Linked DNA regions of Bombyx mori. The main gene of each other region encodes a partner of the protein of the gene in region 3 in a complex. Links are inferred from orthologs where the notes say so. Each region holds a gene or a part of one and is shown on either strand. Other genes may lie near its edges. The genes, in order: mediator of RNA polymerase II transcription subunit 21, mediator of RNA polymerase II transcription subunit 9 and mediator of RNA polymerase II transcription subunit 1.

Region 1 (5,649 bases), on a different chromosome or scaffold from region 3:
TTCCAAAACATTTAGATGTGACTATTACAGCCAATAATGTTTTTGAATTTATTGTATTTTTTTTTTTGTTGCTTAGATGGGTGGACGGGCTCACAGCCCACCTGGTGATGAATGGTTACAGGAGCCTATAGACCCACCTTGAGATATAAGTTGTAAGATCTCAGTATAGTTATAGAATTATTTTACCATACTTTGTCAAGTCATCCAGCCAATAAGAATTTTATAAATCGAATGTACAACTTACTCGATAAACTTGCTTGTTCCATTAGTTATCTAAAAGCTACAATGATAGTAGTAGAATGAAATGAAGATCATTTATTTGAAATTTTAATGTATTAATATGAAATTAATTGGAAAGAAGTAAAACGAGATGAGATAAAATGAAATAACGTCCCAGTAACAGGATGGGAATTTACTGACGCTTTTTGGAGGAAGCCGTTAAGCCACATATAGGAACTTTGTTCTAATTTCCCACACATGTGCACTTTCAGAGATGCTAAAATGTAAATAAGCTACCATTAATACATATATAAACCTGAAGGAACACTACTTCTACTAAATTAAACTATTCTTTACCATTGAATCAGTATTGAAATTTATACAAATAAAACATTTGATTTAATAAAACACTCTTAGCTATCAACATTTATTTTCAATCATATAGATTTTTTTTCATTTCAAGATTATAGTTTTCTATTTCCAATCTCTAAAGTATATTAATATTTAGATTCGAGTCCATTCCAGCATATACAGGGCGTACAACAAAAAGAAAAATTAAACCTTTAATTAAACATAATAACTTAATTAAATTAATTAAACATAAAACATAAATATTTTTTAATTTAATTAAAACTCATGTTCATCATTGAATACAATCACCTTTACTTTTTCCTTGTGTTCATTTTATTTTATGTATATAGATGAACGAGTTCATCTAATATTAAGAGATTAACATAGCCCAGAGATCCCAGTCATTGCCGCCACTCATCTCAAAATCATCATCAACAACTAACCTGTGCTTCAAAACTGGAAAACAACGGCTTTACAGTATGTATAGGCAGAGTGGCGGTACCTACCCTTTCAGACTTAAAGTATGCCTTACGTAATAATAGAAAATAATGAATAAACAAGTCATGTATACTTAACTATTCAATTATAACAAATGATTACTTAAAATGATATATGTCATACCAATGTTTTTCTTATTATAGTTTCAAAAATATGACATTCAGACAATTTAGTTTTCACCGGCATGAAAGCCCTGTAACAAATTTGCAAACAACAAAAAAAAATCTTCGTCATTAAGCATTAAGATTTCAAACACAAAATTTTAAAATTCATATAATACTAAAATACTTCCGTGTATTCTTGTTTTAACGTATCCTTTTGTAGAGGAAACTACCGTTGGTAGAACCCCAGACCCCATCCCTATAACTGTGGTTTCACATCCTTGTTGAGGATCAGAGCCGGATTCTGCATGTCCAACTGGCACTGAGCAATATCACTCAGAGCACCCTGAATCTTCTCTAGAAGAATCTCTCCTTGACGGACTACCTGTAGAATTATTAAATATTGTCTGACATTATTATTAACGCTAATGAAAAGAGAGTAAGTCATGTGTAATTATTTTCATATCGACGCTTGAAAGGCAAACGTGACTAAGCGACAATAACTGCTTTATACATGATAGGCAATAACCATATTCAATGCCAAAAAAAATATATTTCTAGGTCTATTAAAATCATTTCAATCCTACAGCTAGTTTCGTTAAAATAGAATTTTTTCAGGTATTTCATCTTGAAATTAGTCTACTGTGAAGTTCACGCATTGTCGCTTAGTCACGTTTGCCTTTCAAGCGTCGATATGATTACTTCCAATATTTCAAATACTATAAGTTTTTGTAGTCATGGCAATCTAAAACATGAGATTAATCTGTAAACACCCTATGGGTTTTGAAAATTGAATAAAGTAATATTCGCTGATACAATTCCAGTGTGCCATCTCAAAATGAAGTTAAGGAAACAACTTTAACCAAATCGCTATTACTGTCAATTTTATCTTAAGTAGGTACTAATTTATGTTTAAATATTGGTGCTTGTTTACATTACAAAAGTTGACTATAGACAAAATACAATGTCTGTAATACAAATACTTTCTTGGAATATTTGATTTTACATTCAAATGGCAATACAAAAGCAAACTGCATGGCATAATTACTTCTTTAAAATCATTATTTTAATGGTTTAGTTACATGATAATTCCCAATTTATGATAAAAAAGAAAGCTAGTGTCCTTTGAGATAAATTGCACGTGTATTGGGCACGGAGAGTTGACAGCCCTTACCTCTTCAAGTTGCTCAGCAGCCTCCTTGTTCTCGGCCTCAAGTCGCCGAAGGCTTTGCACTTGCAGCTCAGTTGAACTCTCTTCACTGGGCAAAGACTCGATGAGCGTGTCAATGTCCTTAGCACAACGAGAAATTAGAGCCGCGAATAAAACCGCATAATCCTCTTGACTCTGCGGTTGTTGAGGAGTCTGAGAACCACCGCGTTCGAAGCCTGGGAACTTGCTAGGCAACGAGAACTGCTGTAGAATTCCGATGCTGTTACAAAAATTCTCAGCTTGCTACAAATAAATAAATACAACGTATGTGAAATGTATTAATGTCAATTAAAACGAAATGTTCATTTTTGTCATACGTACTTGGTTTATGGTATCTTGAAGCTGAGTTAAGCGATCAGCCATTATTCAATTCAGATATTTATCCTACTAACCACTGTTAAAATTTAATCCTTATATGGATATTTTCTATGGAAGGTGGTTTTAAGCTACCTACAGTATCAATTTGTAAAACTACCTTTTGAATGAAGTTATTTGAAGTTGAACGTTATGACGTTTTTAAGTAATATTTCCAATATTTCCAGGTGGAAAGGCGAAGATATCACACACCATACATCCTAGTCTTTTGTATGTACATTCTATTCTCTTTCATGAAAAATGATCATATGGAGCGAAATGAAATAAAGTTGATTCATTTGAGACATTAATCTAAAATCCAAATAACTTGAAGTTCTGTAAGGAAACAATTATATTACGATCGTTTAACTTTGGCGTGCAGCAAAACAGTACCTAATTTGGAATAGTAACGCCATTTTAAGCCAGAGATCTTTTTTGCCACGTACCATACGGCTTTGGAATGAGCTCCGCTCCACGGTGTTTTCCGAGCGCTATGACGTATTCTTCTTCAAACGAGGCTTGCGGAAAGTACTTAACGGTAGGCAGCGACTTGGCTGTCCCTGGCATTGCTGAAGTCCATGGGCGATGGTAACCACTTACCATCAGGTGGGCCGTATGCTCGTCTGCCTACAAGGGCAATAAAAAAATACATTTAGAACTGCAATCATTCTCATCAGTATTAAAATTTAGAAAACCATTTCTCCGTTATATACATTATAAGCTAAATAGTAATGTTGCTAATAACAGGACCACTTGACGTTTCGGTTTGAAGGGTGGGGCAGCCGTTGTAAGTATACCTTAGAACTCATATCTCAAGGTGGGTGACGGTATTTACGTTATAGATATCTATGGGCTCCGGTATCACTTAACACCAGGTGGACTATGAGCTCTTCCACCCATCTACATATAAAAAAAATTAAAAAACTTTAATTATAGGCAATGAAATGAATTTCAAAATTTCCTTTATTTAATGTAAGCAGTGTACACAATAGGTAACCATAATATTACCGACTAGAAAAACATCACAATTATTGAGTATTTAAGTATAATAAAAAACCATTAATGAACCTCTTTCATTTCAGACCTTAAACGATTATTTTTAAATTTTAGTTATTCAATGAAACAACATTAACAATAAGCTGGATTCACATTACGGATATAACGAGGTTGTGTGTTCAAACATGTTATTGTTTAATGACTACTACAACTATTAGTCTAATTCAATCTAAGGCAGCTGTGCTATAGTAAAATTGGCAGAACTTTACTAATTTGTAAAAGTTTTCCGTTTTTCTTTTCGTTTCGTGTAAGCCATTTTTTTTACAATCAACAAACACCTCCTGTCGCGCAATAAGTAAATATCAAATCCTCGCGTCATTTTTGTAACAACTAAAATTCATCAAGAAGTTGCGTCGCAGTGTGTGTAGGCTACCGAATAGGTAGGAAAAAAAACTTCCATCACCGCTTTCGCGCTATTCTCGTACGAATTAACAATAAAAGACTAGATAGCTTTCAGCCTAACCTGCACTCTTTAAAAATAACTAAGCATTTGCGGTATCACATTTTTATGATAGAAATCCGCCGTTATCGAATTTAAATTGCTTAGAAGTCAACAATGAAAATTGCTAAATTAGATTTTTGAGTACTGTATGTACATACCCAACATAGCATCTAATTTTTTTATAAATTAAGTACAAAACTTTACTAATAACAGCAATATGAATATAATTCATTAGCATAATAATATAGCAAATAAAAATTCCCACTTTTTTTTGAGTACCTAACTAAATTATCGTTTGTAAAGTAAGAAAGTGAGCGCAGTTGGTTGAATAAACTAGCACTCGACGCATGCGCATTAGTTTTTAATTTTTAAATAGGGTAAGTTTGTCTACCGCCATCCTTGTCTGACAAACGATGTTACGCATTAACTCTCTCACTCTACTTTGGATCTAGGTTTCCATCTTTATCAGCTAGCAACCCCCGTTTGCGGCCACATTTACAAAGACAGAGGTTTTAAATTGTGCACAGAAAAAAAAACACACACACACAAAACCTCGTGATTGTTATTAAAAATGTTTTAAAACAATTTAGATAAATTGTTTGAAAACTTCAAAGCTTCACACTATAGTACCAAAATTATTATCAAATACCTTAAAATTATAGATCTATTCTCAATTTATTATCAAATTTTATGCATAAATATAGTTATAAACATAGCAACAAGTAATGACTATTTACTAAAACTTTTAAAAAATCACACAATGAAATAGTTTTAACAATTCACAATTAGTTTTGTTAGAGAGCATCACAAAGCTTAACTTTTCATTTAGAATCAAGTGCAAACAATCATGCTAAGTATTGGATTTAGCTATAATTAATAAAATTTTCAATCCTCATTAAAGCTTTACACTCTGAAGGGCAAGCACGAATGACTATCGAAAAAGTATTCGTATCTCTATCGAGAAAAAATAGATAGGATTTAAACAGTGCCCCTACTACCGTCCGTTAAAGGAATTAATCTATACTTTTATACTTAATACTTCTATACTAATATTATAAAGAGGAAAGATTTGTTTGTTTGTTTCGAATAGGCTCCGAAACTACTGGACCGATTTGAAAAATTCTTTTTCCATTAGAAGCCGACATTGTCCCTGATTTTATTTTTTTGGTTTCATGTGTGTTTTAATGTTTCCGAAGCGAAGCGAGGGCGGGTCGCTAGTCTATACTAATATTATAAAGAGGAAAGATTTGTGTGTTTGTTTGTATTGAATAGGCTCCGAAACTACTGAACCGATTTGAATAATTCTTTCACTGTTTGGAAGCTACTCTATTCCGGAGTGACATAGGCTATAATCTAGGAATACTAACTAAAACTCCAATAATGTAACCCAAGGTGTAAAAAAATTACCTAAAATATTC
Region 2 (5,054 bases), on a different chromosome or scaffold from region 3:
CTTCCAATTCAGCCATCGCCAAATCAACAACATTATCAGTAGAACTTGGTTTAATTTCTTCTGTAAATAAGTCTTTGGCTGTTATTCTCTTTTTGTCTTTTTCATCATCACTACTTTCATCAGAAAAAGATTGAGGTTTATCATTTGGTATGGCCAAGCCAGGAAACTTTTTTGCCAAAGGATTTTCACTTTCAGTTTCGGCAATATTTTTAATCAATGTTGATGTATTCACAGGTTTCATGTGCTGTATTATACGGAGTAGATTTGTCATGAAGGAATCAGAAAATTCAGCCCCATTTTCAACCAATGCTACTTTAAAAGTTTCAAATGTTGGATTCTTATCAGCCAAATCTATGATGAATTCCGCTGCAACAAATATAGTAATTTAAAATTCCAGACACAATTTTGTATGAAAAAATTAGAGATGTTAAAACACAAGAACCTCGAAGTATGGTAAAAGGATCTCTTTGTTTCTGACTAGCTCCAATTAACCTGATTAAAAAATGCTCGTTTTAATCTATCGTATCGGTTAACATAATTATTGCTTGGTATAAGCAACGCTGTATTTATTCTATGACATCGTTCTTTTATCATGTAATTTAATGATCAAAACAAAAGTAGTCTACTCACCTAAATCCTTGTCGTTCAAACCTAAATGGTTGTCTAGCTCGGTGCATATTTTAGACACGAGCGAAAGATGCTCTAATTTAGTGACTTCGTCCATTTTAAGTATTAGCTTCACTTTAAAACCATCAAATCTAACAAATTCTAACGTATGAACAAAGTCACACAAAACTCACATTTTTAGGCTATTTTGACTTTACTGTTTAACGAAGACTGTCACCTGTCAAAAACAAAGTGGTAGTTCCACTTTTCCAACTAAAAAGGCAAAAGTATCATACCATACAGCCTAATATGCTATTTTTTTTTTATGACAAAAAATAGTTATGACATGAAATGAAATGAAATTAATTCATTTGGAACATTAATAAATTGACCTAAAATTAAATGAAATGAGATGAGATGATATGGGATGAAATATAATTTCAGTAAAATTGTGGTTATTTACTGAAACTTTTTCAGTAAACTTTTTAGACGATCCCGAGAAGCAACGTCCAGCAGCTTTATTTCATTTTCCCACATTGGTGCACTTTCACAGATATTAAATTATTAATAAACCACCGTTATTGTTAAGTTACACATTTAATCCTGAATAAACACTAAATAGAAAAATAAAAAAATAAAAAAACTTCGTTCCTCGTATACCCTGTCAGAAACAAAATAACACACAGCAACACACTCTTAACTCATATTTTAATATACGTACGAACCATAGAAAATGATTCGGATAGAGCCTGCTACTGATGTTTCGAAGTGCCATTTGGCGTTCTTAAAATCTGATGCGATTTCAATACTAAAACGTATCACTACAGAGCTTCTTGATTTAGAAAGAATGGGGTATTTTATTACCGTAGCACCTCTGATTGATATATTTTTAATTAATTAAAATCACTAAGCACATATTATAATTAGTTGAGTAAAAACAATTACCTTCAGCGTGAATAAACTTAGTAGAATTTTAAAACTTTCGTAGAGTCGGGCCTAAAATTTATGCAGAATATAATGATAGGTAAGTAGTTTAAAAAATTTCTATTTTCTTAGTCGATTCCAAAATCTTGGCAGAAATAGGAGAAGATAACTTGTCTGAGTTGTGCTATTTTCTTAATCCAGTGTTTCTACAAGTTTAATAAATAGCAACGGTTTCGTATTCGTGAAAGTGGATAAGATTAAGAAAATGGAACCAAGTTGTTGAACTTGGTTTTTCAAGCGTTTCTAAAAAGTTAAGTGACGAGTAAACTCTCACTATTGTTCAGACTGATTAATTTATTTCGTCCCATAAAACACCGATGGTCATATAATTTCATTCAAATTCATTTTATTTCAAACATTTTTTTCATTTTATTTTACTTTTCTTTAACAGACATTACTACAGCCTTTGTAAAAAAAAGATGTGTGGTGTCGTGGGACACCGGATAGGAACGAAGTTCCTTATTATAAAAATATTAATTTCAAGTTCTATTCGAGGTCTAAAGAAAATAATTATTCAGGTATACATTTTTATTATTTTATTTTTTATTGATAAAAATATAATAATAATTACATTACAAAGTTATCAACTTTATTTTATTCACAATGATTTATAAAAAATTATAATAATAATATACAAAGAAACAGCTATTTATACGAATTATAATAATAACCGTCATCACGTAGACTATACATTAGACACTGTATAGCCATCGTACTAAGAATATACATAAAAAGAGAAAGGTATTATACACTACTCGCTTGTGTATATGACTGTCGCGCCTGCGCACGTCTTATTTAACGGTTTTATTCCACGGACTTTTTCTTACGGTTTTACTATCACATTTTTTTCAGTTCGGACGTGCAGCAAAATCCCTATCTCCTCCAAGCCTGCCGTAAAGAACTTCGTTCCAAAAATTTCGTGTATGAGCTTTATTTCCTTTGCTTGTCGAACACCGATCACACAAACATTCGACTTATTCTCCGCGATTTCGTCCATAGTCCATTGCTGTCCATAGATAACACAATAACACATCATTATTTTTGTCGTTTTCGGTTTTGTGATGGTAAAGAATCTACCTACTTTTTTACGTACCTAGGTTTATGTGTTTAATAACCATAATCTAATAAATTTATAAATTAATAAACAACGTACGTATAATAAAATCTGTTACATAATAAGCAAGTGAAAAATTGTGCTTAAAATTTGTACAATGGAAAACAACACAGATCATTCAGAACAGACGAACTACAGTCCCCTGACTGTTGAGGATGTAGATGTAGACTTTTTACCGATTGTATACGATATAATACGAAGGTATTTTGCGTATTATTTGAGACAAACTAGATTTGCTCAAGTTCATTTTGTATTTTCTGGTGCTTTAAATGTTTTTATTACAGCGTGGAGAGAGATTTTCACGACAACGCGTCGAAAATACGCGAGTCCCACGAGTGCAGTCATAGAGTTCTTGAATTACAAAAGAGGCTAGAAATAGCTAAAGCTCAGGTGAGATTACTTTCAAATACTGGAAACATACTTGGTATTTAACATTTGTAATGTAAAAATAATATGCTAAGTCAGCATAATTTTTGTATTTTGAGGAATCAAATTTATCATGAACTCATACACAAGTATCTGCCATAATATATCATCAACCAGTACACAATTATCTGCAATAATATATCACTCATTTCAGATCAGGAGGCTCCCAGGTATAGAATTCAACAAACACGACCAGCTGAAGCAATTTGAACTGCTCCGCACTCAGCTGAGATTAAAGCGTGAACTCTTACAGAAGTATCGGAATATGTGCTCATTTGAGACATCATTCAAGTGAAGATGCCTCTACGTGCGCTGCTTAAATACTTAGCCAATAATGAACGAATTGTACAGAAGATTGCAGAGTCCTACCCTGTACGAAGAGCAGCTCAGTTAGCTGTCTCAGTATTTTACAGAGGGAAGGAAAAGCTCTCTGATGTTGATCCACAGAAAGTTAATAAATTTATAGAGTTTTTAAAAAGGTTCAGTGCAAATTTGAAGGAAGGAGTACAGGATGCAAAAAAACAACTGAAAAAATAATAATAGTTCCTTGGATGTTTTTGGCTAACCATGGATTAGTTGCTGTTGATTGTAATTCACTATCAGTAGTGTCCTTTACATAATATAACTACTAAATTAGATAATAAAAAACTGTAACATAGTTAGAGCTATTTTTATTTCACTCACTCTGAACAAATCAATAAAAATATAAACTTTACTTAATTCTAAGAAAAAATCACAATATTGCAATGGTATTCATTGTAAATGTCAAAATATTGAAAATATATTTACTTTTAGAAAGCAGCTAGCTTCACTAATTTTATTGCGATTATAAGGTTTTCAGAGTTAAGGCAATGATGATTCAAAACTCTGATCTCATTAACTTTAATTTTTATTTTTAAGTGTTCAAATATTTTAAGTGACCCTAAAAGATTAAGCTTAGTGCTGTAAAAATATATACTTGAGTTTTAATTAGTGTTATAAGAACCTCGAGGTTATTAGTGATTTAACTTGCGAAAATATGCCGACCCATTGTGACAGGTGGATTAGCGGTATGGCTTGAGGCTGTCTAGATTAATCAGTGTCACTACGTCCCCAGAAAACGACAGGAGTTCTACCCTTGGTAGTAAAACTACTAAATTGTACTATGCAACAATCACTAGAAAAACCTTTAAGTTAGATAAAAAGATCAATATAGATTTTAGATTAATTTGAATAGTATGTGCCACTTTCCAGCCAGTCATTTTAGAGCAATAGTTTTGTATTAAAAGTAAAATATAGTTGTTTTACATTTAATACAGATTCTTCTCCGAATATTTGTAAAGTTATTTATCGATTGAATTACATTCTTAAAGGCGATTGCACAGTATTAGTATATTGAATAATATAATTTCGATGATAATGTATCTAGCAAACTTCTAGAAGTCCTAATTATAACTGTCCTCTGTGGACAAATATTAATATATTTTTTTTAATATTTAAAGAAAGAATTCAGATACGTTAAATTTACAGCCACTATTTCACAGAAATTAGTAACTATTAAAGTTGACAGACTTGATTAAGCTAAGTCTACCAAAAAATGTTTCTTTTTTCAATGTACATTTCTTGTACTTTTTGTGCCTATCCTACTTAAATGGTAAAAGGAAAACATTTTCAACCTATACCTACCGTATTTATGTAAAAATGAACTATAATTCTGACATTTGACGTTCAAGCATTTTTATTGAACAAAAAACTTTATTGGCATTTTCATCAAGCGCCCTTCATACCAAAATTGAAAAAGTTTAAAATGAGAGAAAAAACCCCAAAAATTATAATTTTCTTCTAGATTAGTAACACTGTCGTCTTGACTGCAGCGTGTATTAATTAGCCGCAGCGACGGTCGGTTGTGTGGGTTCGGGCGGCTTGTCGTGTCTCTTCCGACCAC
Region 3 (5,549 bases):
AAATTAATCATCTTCATTTCAATTCATTTCACTCCATATTATCATTTATTATGAAAATAAGAATTAAAATAAAAAAAATACGACATAACTTAAAGGTCTTAGTTACCAGGTCATAAAATCACTTAAATAAAAAAAAAAGTGGATTATGATTAATTGTTACTGCTATATACGAAGGGGGTCAAACGTCAAGTTATACACATACCTCTGTCGTGGCTTGTATTAATTTCGCTAGGCCCGAGCACAGCGGCGTCGGCTGCGACAGTTTGAGGGTGAAGCAAGCCGGCAGCATCGCACTGTTCTGGGGTACCAGTGGCGCGTATACGGGACCGTTGCTTTAAAGGGCAACAATAAAATTTAAAGGTTATAAGCGTTTCCACAAATGACATGTAGTTGCAAGGGCGGATCCAGCTTTGGTGCCAGGAGGGGGTCACATAGTCATGGTCAAGTCAAGAACTTATAATTTAATTTTGATAACAATAGATGCAAGTAAAAAGTAGGTATTTTATTAATGTACGTAAGTACTGTACTTAGAAATATTTATTCTTTATTGTACACTTGAAAAACTTAACACATAATAACTTGTACCTACATATACACGTACATATTGTCATCTTCTCTTGAAGACATCCAGAGAAGCACTATCACGCCCGGAATGAGGCAGCTTATTTATATTCCATAACCGTGGTGAATGGTTTGTCATAACAGCTAAAGGTATGTCGAGGGGTATGACGCAAAAGTCCGCAAAAGTGGTACGACAAGGGTTTCCAACAAACAAAATAGAAACAGACAAAATACATATTTAAATAACAAAATCAATTTTTCTTTTACGTCTTCTCCCGAAAGGCGTTATTACGTCATTTACGTCAATGGGTACGTTTTTATGACAAAACCGATCTACACGGGAGCCCTCTTCTTCGACAGTCTGGCACAACGGTTTGATTTTCAAACTTTTCAACATGGGTGTACCGGACAGTCTCGTGCTCATCATACGGGACTTCTTGTCTAACTGCTCTTTTCGATATCGAGTAGAGGGAACCCGCTCCTCCCCGCGACCACTCACGGCTGGAGTCCCGCAAAGCTCCGTTCTTTCTCCGCTCCTATTTAGTTTATTTGTCAATGATATTCCCCGATCGCCGCCGACCCAGTTACCTTTTCTTTTTTTTTTTTTTTTTTTCCTACCTAAGCTGAGAGCCTTGAGAGGCTATGTCAGCGTAACCCTAACTTTTGTAGGTGAGCTCACGGGGCTCAAACCTGATGACGTTGCTAACACGAACCCTAGCAAGAGCCGTGCTTCGCAGAATCTACCACCGGATCGGAAACGCGACCCACTGAGAAGATCCGGCGAGAAACTCAGTGGGCCCCAGCTAGCCTTATTCGCTGACGACACAACCTACTCAAGTAGAAACAAGTCCCTAGTCGCGAGTAAGCTCCAGAGTGCAGCGTTAACCCTCGGACAGTGGTTCCGAAAATGGCGCATAGACATCAACCCAGCGAAAAGCACAGCAGTGTTATTTCAAAGGGGAAACTCACCGCTTATTTCCTCCCGCATTAGGAGGAGAAATATCACACCCCCGATCACCCTCTTCGGCCAACCTATACCCTGGGCCAGGAAGGTCAAGTACCTGGGAGTCACCCTGGATGCATCCATGACATTCCGCCCGCATGTAAAAACAGTCCGTGACCGTGCCGCATTTATTCTCGGCAGACTCTATCCCATGATCTGTAAGCGGAGTAAAATGTCCCTTCGGAACAAGGTGACACTTTACAAAACTTGCATAAGGCCCGTCATGACTTACGCGAGTGTGGTGTTCGCTCACGCGGCCCGCACACACATAGACACCCTCCAATCCCTACAATCCCGCTTTTGCAGGTTAGCCATCGGGGCTCCGTAGTTCGTGAGGAACGTCGACCTACACGACGACCTGGGCCTCGAATCGATCCGCAAACACATGAAGTCAGTGTCGGAACGTTACTTCGATAGGGCTATGCGTCATGATAATCGCCTTATCGTTGCCGCCGCTGATTACTCCCCGAATCCTGATCACGCAGGAGCAAGTCACCGTCGTCGCCCTAGACACGTCCTTACGGATCCATCAGATCCAATAACTCTTGCATTAGATACCTTCAGCTCTAACACTAGGAGCAGGCTGAGGAACCCCGGAAACCGTACTCGTCCAACTCGACAAAGAGGTCGACGTGCAACCTAACCCATGCATCAGCCCGCTGAGTTTCTCGCCGGATCTTCTCAGTGGGTCGCGATTCCGATCCGGTAGTAGATTCATTCGCGAAGCAATTGCTCTTGAGTTGTTAGGTCTCCTTCGGAGGCGCTTGGACAGTTGTTAGCAAATCCCAGCCCTCCTCACTGAGCCTTTGCTCGCCCACCTGTCCTGGTGAAGCGGAAAGGCCTCCGGGCCACCAGTAATCCTTCAAGCATAAAAAAAAAAAAACGTTTTTATTAACGTGGAGAAGTGCCAGTCCGGTTAGGCGATCTTCAACCATTGAAGATCTTAGCCACGATTTAAGTCTGCGCAACGTAGAGAAAGACCTAGACGTTACGTAGTCGACAAGGGCGCGCGAGTGTGGCGCGGTAAAACTCAAATTTTCGATGCGTTCGTTCCCTAAAATTTGCCATCATACAAAGTTATTATATTACATTAAATTAATTAAGGAGCAATATAAGGAGCAACAACATATTGTGTCCTAAAATCATTATGTTCAATATGTGGTCCACCTAGGGACCAGCTCAGGGGGGGTCATGACCCCCATGACCCCCCCCTGGATCCGCCCTTGTGTAGTTGGTAGAGCTGGTGATTTCTGTCTTGATCCGATTAATAATAATAAGAATTTTACTAACTTTATATTCTTTGGTTTTCGCGAGTCATACGTACATATTATAGTTTAAAATATTTTTACGGTTTGAAACTCGCGTTTTTATTGTCATTATATTATTATTATTTCCGACGTTTCGACTTTACAGTTTATGTGGATCACGGATGGTCAGTCGTAATGTGTAAACAATAAAAATGAGAGTTTTAAATCGTAAAAATAGTTTTAATAAGGTTTTTTTTAATACTTTGCATCCAATTCTATTTTTAAATATACAAATATATGTAGGTCTGCCTATGATTTGCACAACTATTAATGCATTATCTGCGATGAGCGAAACATAACTCTATACTGAGACCTCATGTCAAAATGTCGAGAATGAAACGATGAAAAAAACGAGGGCACAAATAAGCCAGTCAATTGTTGGAAATTATTTTCAAATCTCGTTTAATGCAAGACATACCATAGTGCTCAGCCTATTGTGGGGATGATTTCACTTCAAAGCCGGAAAAATGATGAATGAATGTGATGAGTGCAATGTTTCTAGACCGGATTCTAGGGATGAAGTCTGCTTCGGCAAGTGTTACAGTAAAGTTTTAATAAAATATAATCTCACCTTTTTCCAGATCGTTGGGCATTTGATATAATAGTCGATAACTGCAGTTTATTGGCAGTGGAGCCTTCTAATAAGACAGTGGCGGAATGACCTATAGGAGTGTAGGCGGGTGTGCCGTGTGAAGCGAAGCCGTTGGATGCCGTAGGTTTCCCGGTCGTCAAGAGTTCAGTCGTGAGAGGCTGTAGGCCCGCGTCTTTGTCTAATAGCTCGTATGGTGAAACGAAGTACGTTAGACGCATCGCGTGACCTGCGAAAAGAATTTTGGTAGTATTGCATAGAATATTTTATATTCACCGTATTAATCATTTTATGAGAATACCCGTTTAACTCAAAACAACTTAAATCTATACTAATCTATACTAATATTATAAAGAGGAAAGATTTGTTTGTTTGTTTGTATTGAATAGGCTCTGAAACTACTGAGCCGATTAGAAAAATTCTTTCATTATTTGGAAGCTACACTATTCCCCAGTGACATAGGCTATAATCTTTTTTGAAAAAAATTAGGGATCCTTACTGAAACTCCGATAATGTAACCCAAGGCGTAAAAAAATTACCTAAAAAATTCTTTACATCGCGTGTCCTGCAAAAACGATTGATGATAGAATAAAATAATATACTACGACTTTGTAGAACACATTATTATTTACAAAAAGTGTCGCGACAGCATATTTCTAACTATTATAGTTATGCCGCAATAAGTGTTCTATTATTTAAAAAAATAAAACGTCAAATATCTCTGATATTTTTGTTAAAGACCCGAGCGGAGCCGGAGCGGGTTACTAGTCATTCAAAATAATTTTAAAAATAGTTTGATAAATGTTTCTTAATTATCACATACTTTCTTACGAATTATGTATGTCTTACCTCCTCTACGTTTCTGAAGAAAACCTATGGGACTCTTGTGTACTTGTGCCCAAGGATCTTTTATAAAACTCTGTAATTGTCGTAACGTACACAGGTCATCTTCCAAGCTCTGAAGGGCAGTGAATGCTTTACATTTCACCTAAAACAAACGAGTTTGTCTTAAATGTGGGATCTGTATACTAAAGAATAGGAATTTTTTTTTTTTTTTTTTTTTTTTATTGCCCTTGTAGGCAGACGAGCATACGGCCCACCTGATGGTGAGTGGTTACCGTCGCCCATGAACTTCAGCAATGCCAGGGGCAGAGCCAAGCCGCTGCCTAATAGAGTATAATACTAAGAATTTGTAATCAAGTACCTTTGTTTTTGTAATGAGAAATTAACTATGTTTTATTAATTTGTTCAACAGTGTTAAGGAATTTAAATGGGAAATTAAAAACATCCCAGGCTAAGTATTTTTTTGTGTAATGGATTCTGAAAATCCAGACCACCATCAGTAATTTTATTTTTTGAAATATAGATAATCTGACTAGAAATATACTCAGGCTTTGATGTACTATAATAGTCAAGATTAGTAGATCAATAAGATGAGATCATAGTTTGTTAGAATGGGAAAAAAGTTTAATTTTAATTAAACAATATAGGTAAATTAATTGCTTGAAATGATCATTGCTATAATATATTATGGTGTAAGTCTGAAAACAGAACAAAACCTTAATCTGCAAAGAATGAATTTATCATGAAATCAATCTAGGTTTTTTTTTTCTTTACTAAAATACTTTTCGCTACCCATATAAATAAGTAAGTACTTGCCTTTTTCTCAGCATTAAGTTGATAAACAGCAGTCAAACCTTCTAATTGTGCTGTAAAATCTGTGAAATCTCCAGCTGATATACAGTGTACCAATTCTTCACAACTTTGTTGTTCGATCTATAAACAGAAATTTTTTAGATGACTGTGTGAAATTTTAAATCCACCCATACAGTAAAAATATATTACCTTTCCTTCATGATGTATTTTGACATCTTTTACGGAACCCGATGATTCTACAAGTATCTCTAAATAAAACATATCTGATGATATGAACAAGTTTACTCCTGAAGTGCCAACTACTAATTTTAATCTGAAAATATACAAAACATACTTTATTTACACAATATTATTTTTAGTATCCTAAGGCAAAACTACGTTATCGAGGGTTCTTATTTAAAAAAAAAATCATACAAATTGTATTACATAAACA

What was found.
Region 1: mediator of RNA polymerase II transcription subunit 1 (region 3) and mediator of RNA polymerase II transcription subunit 21 share a complex: the UniProt entries of both Drosophila melanogaster proteins name them as parts of the mediator complex. The link is inferred for Bombyx mori from reciprocal best matches to the Drosophila melanogaster genes MED1 and MED21.
Region 2: mediator of RNA polymerase II transcription subunit 1 (region 3) and mediator of RNA polymerase II transcription subunit 9 share a complex: the UniProt entries of both Drosophila melanogaster proteins name them as parts of the mediator complex. The link is inferred for Bombyx mori from reciprocal best matches to the Drosophila melanogaster genes MED1 and MED9.

What each region holds. Positions count from the first base shown.
Region 1 is NC_085122.1:11,556,891-11,562,539, forward strand, and holds mediator of RNA polymerase II transcription subunit 21, read right to left. Parts: upstream 3,632-5,649; 5' UTR 2,743-3,631; coding exon 2,701-2,742; intron 2,623-2,700; coding exon 2,344-2,622; intron 1,555-2,343; coding exon 1,429-1,554; 3' UTR 633-1,428; downstream 1-632. UniProt on the Drosophila melanogaster protein: Component of the Mediator complex, a coactivator involved in the regulated transcription of nearly all RNA polymerase II-dependent genes.
Region 2 is NC_085116.1:15,849,726-15,854,779, forward strand, and holds mediator of RNA polymerase II transcription subunit 9, read left to right. Parts: upstream 1-2,524; 5' UTR 2,525-2,801; coding exon 2,802-2,905; intron 2,906-2,988; coding exon 2,989-3,094; intron 3,095-3,284; coding exon 3,285-3,425; 3' UTR 3,426-3,788; downstream 3,789-5,054. Other genes in the region: ATP-dependent RNA helicase DHX8, read right to left, coding at 1-366, 631-724; GTP-binding protein 1, read right to left, coding at 4,990-5,054. UniProt on the Drosophila melanogaster protein: Component of the Mediator complex, a coactivator involved in the regulated transcription of nearly all RNA polymerase II-dependent genes.
Region 3 is NC_085114.1:6,960,157-6,965,705, reverse strand, and holds part of mediator of RNA polymerase II transcription subunit 1, read right to left. Parts: intron 5,430-5,549; coding exon 5,306-5,429; intron 5,237-5,305; coding exon 5,120-5,236; intron 4,449-5,119; coding exon 4,310-4,448; intron 3,690-4,309; coding exon 3,443-3,689; intron 333-3,442; coding exon 203-332; intron 1-202. UniProt on the Drosophila melanogaster protein: Component of the Mediator complex, a coactivator involved in the regulated transcription of nearly all RNA polymerase II-dependent genes.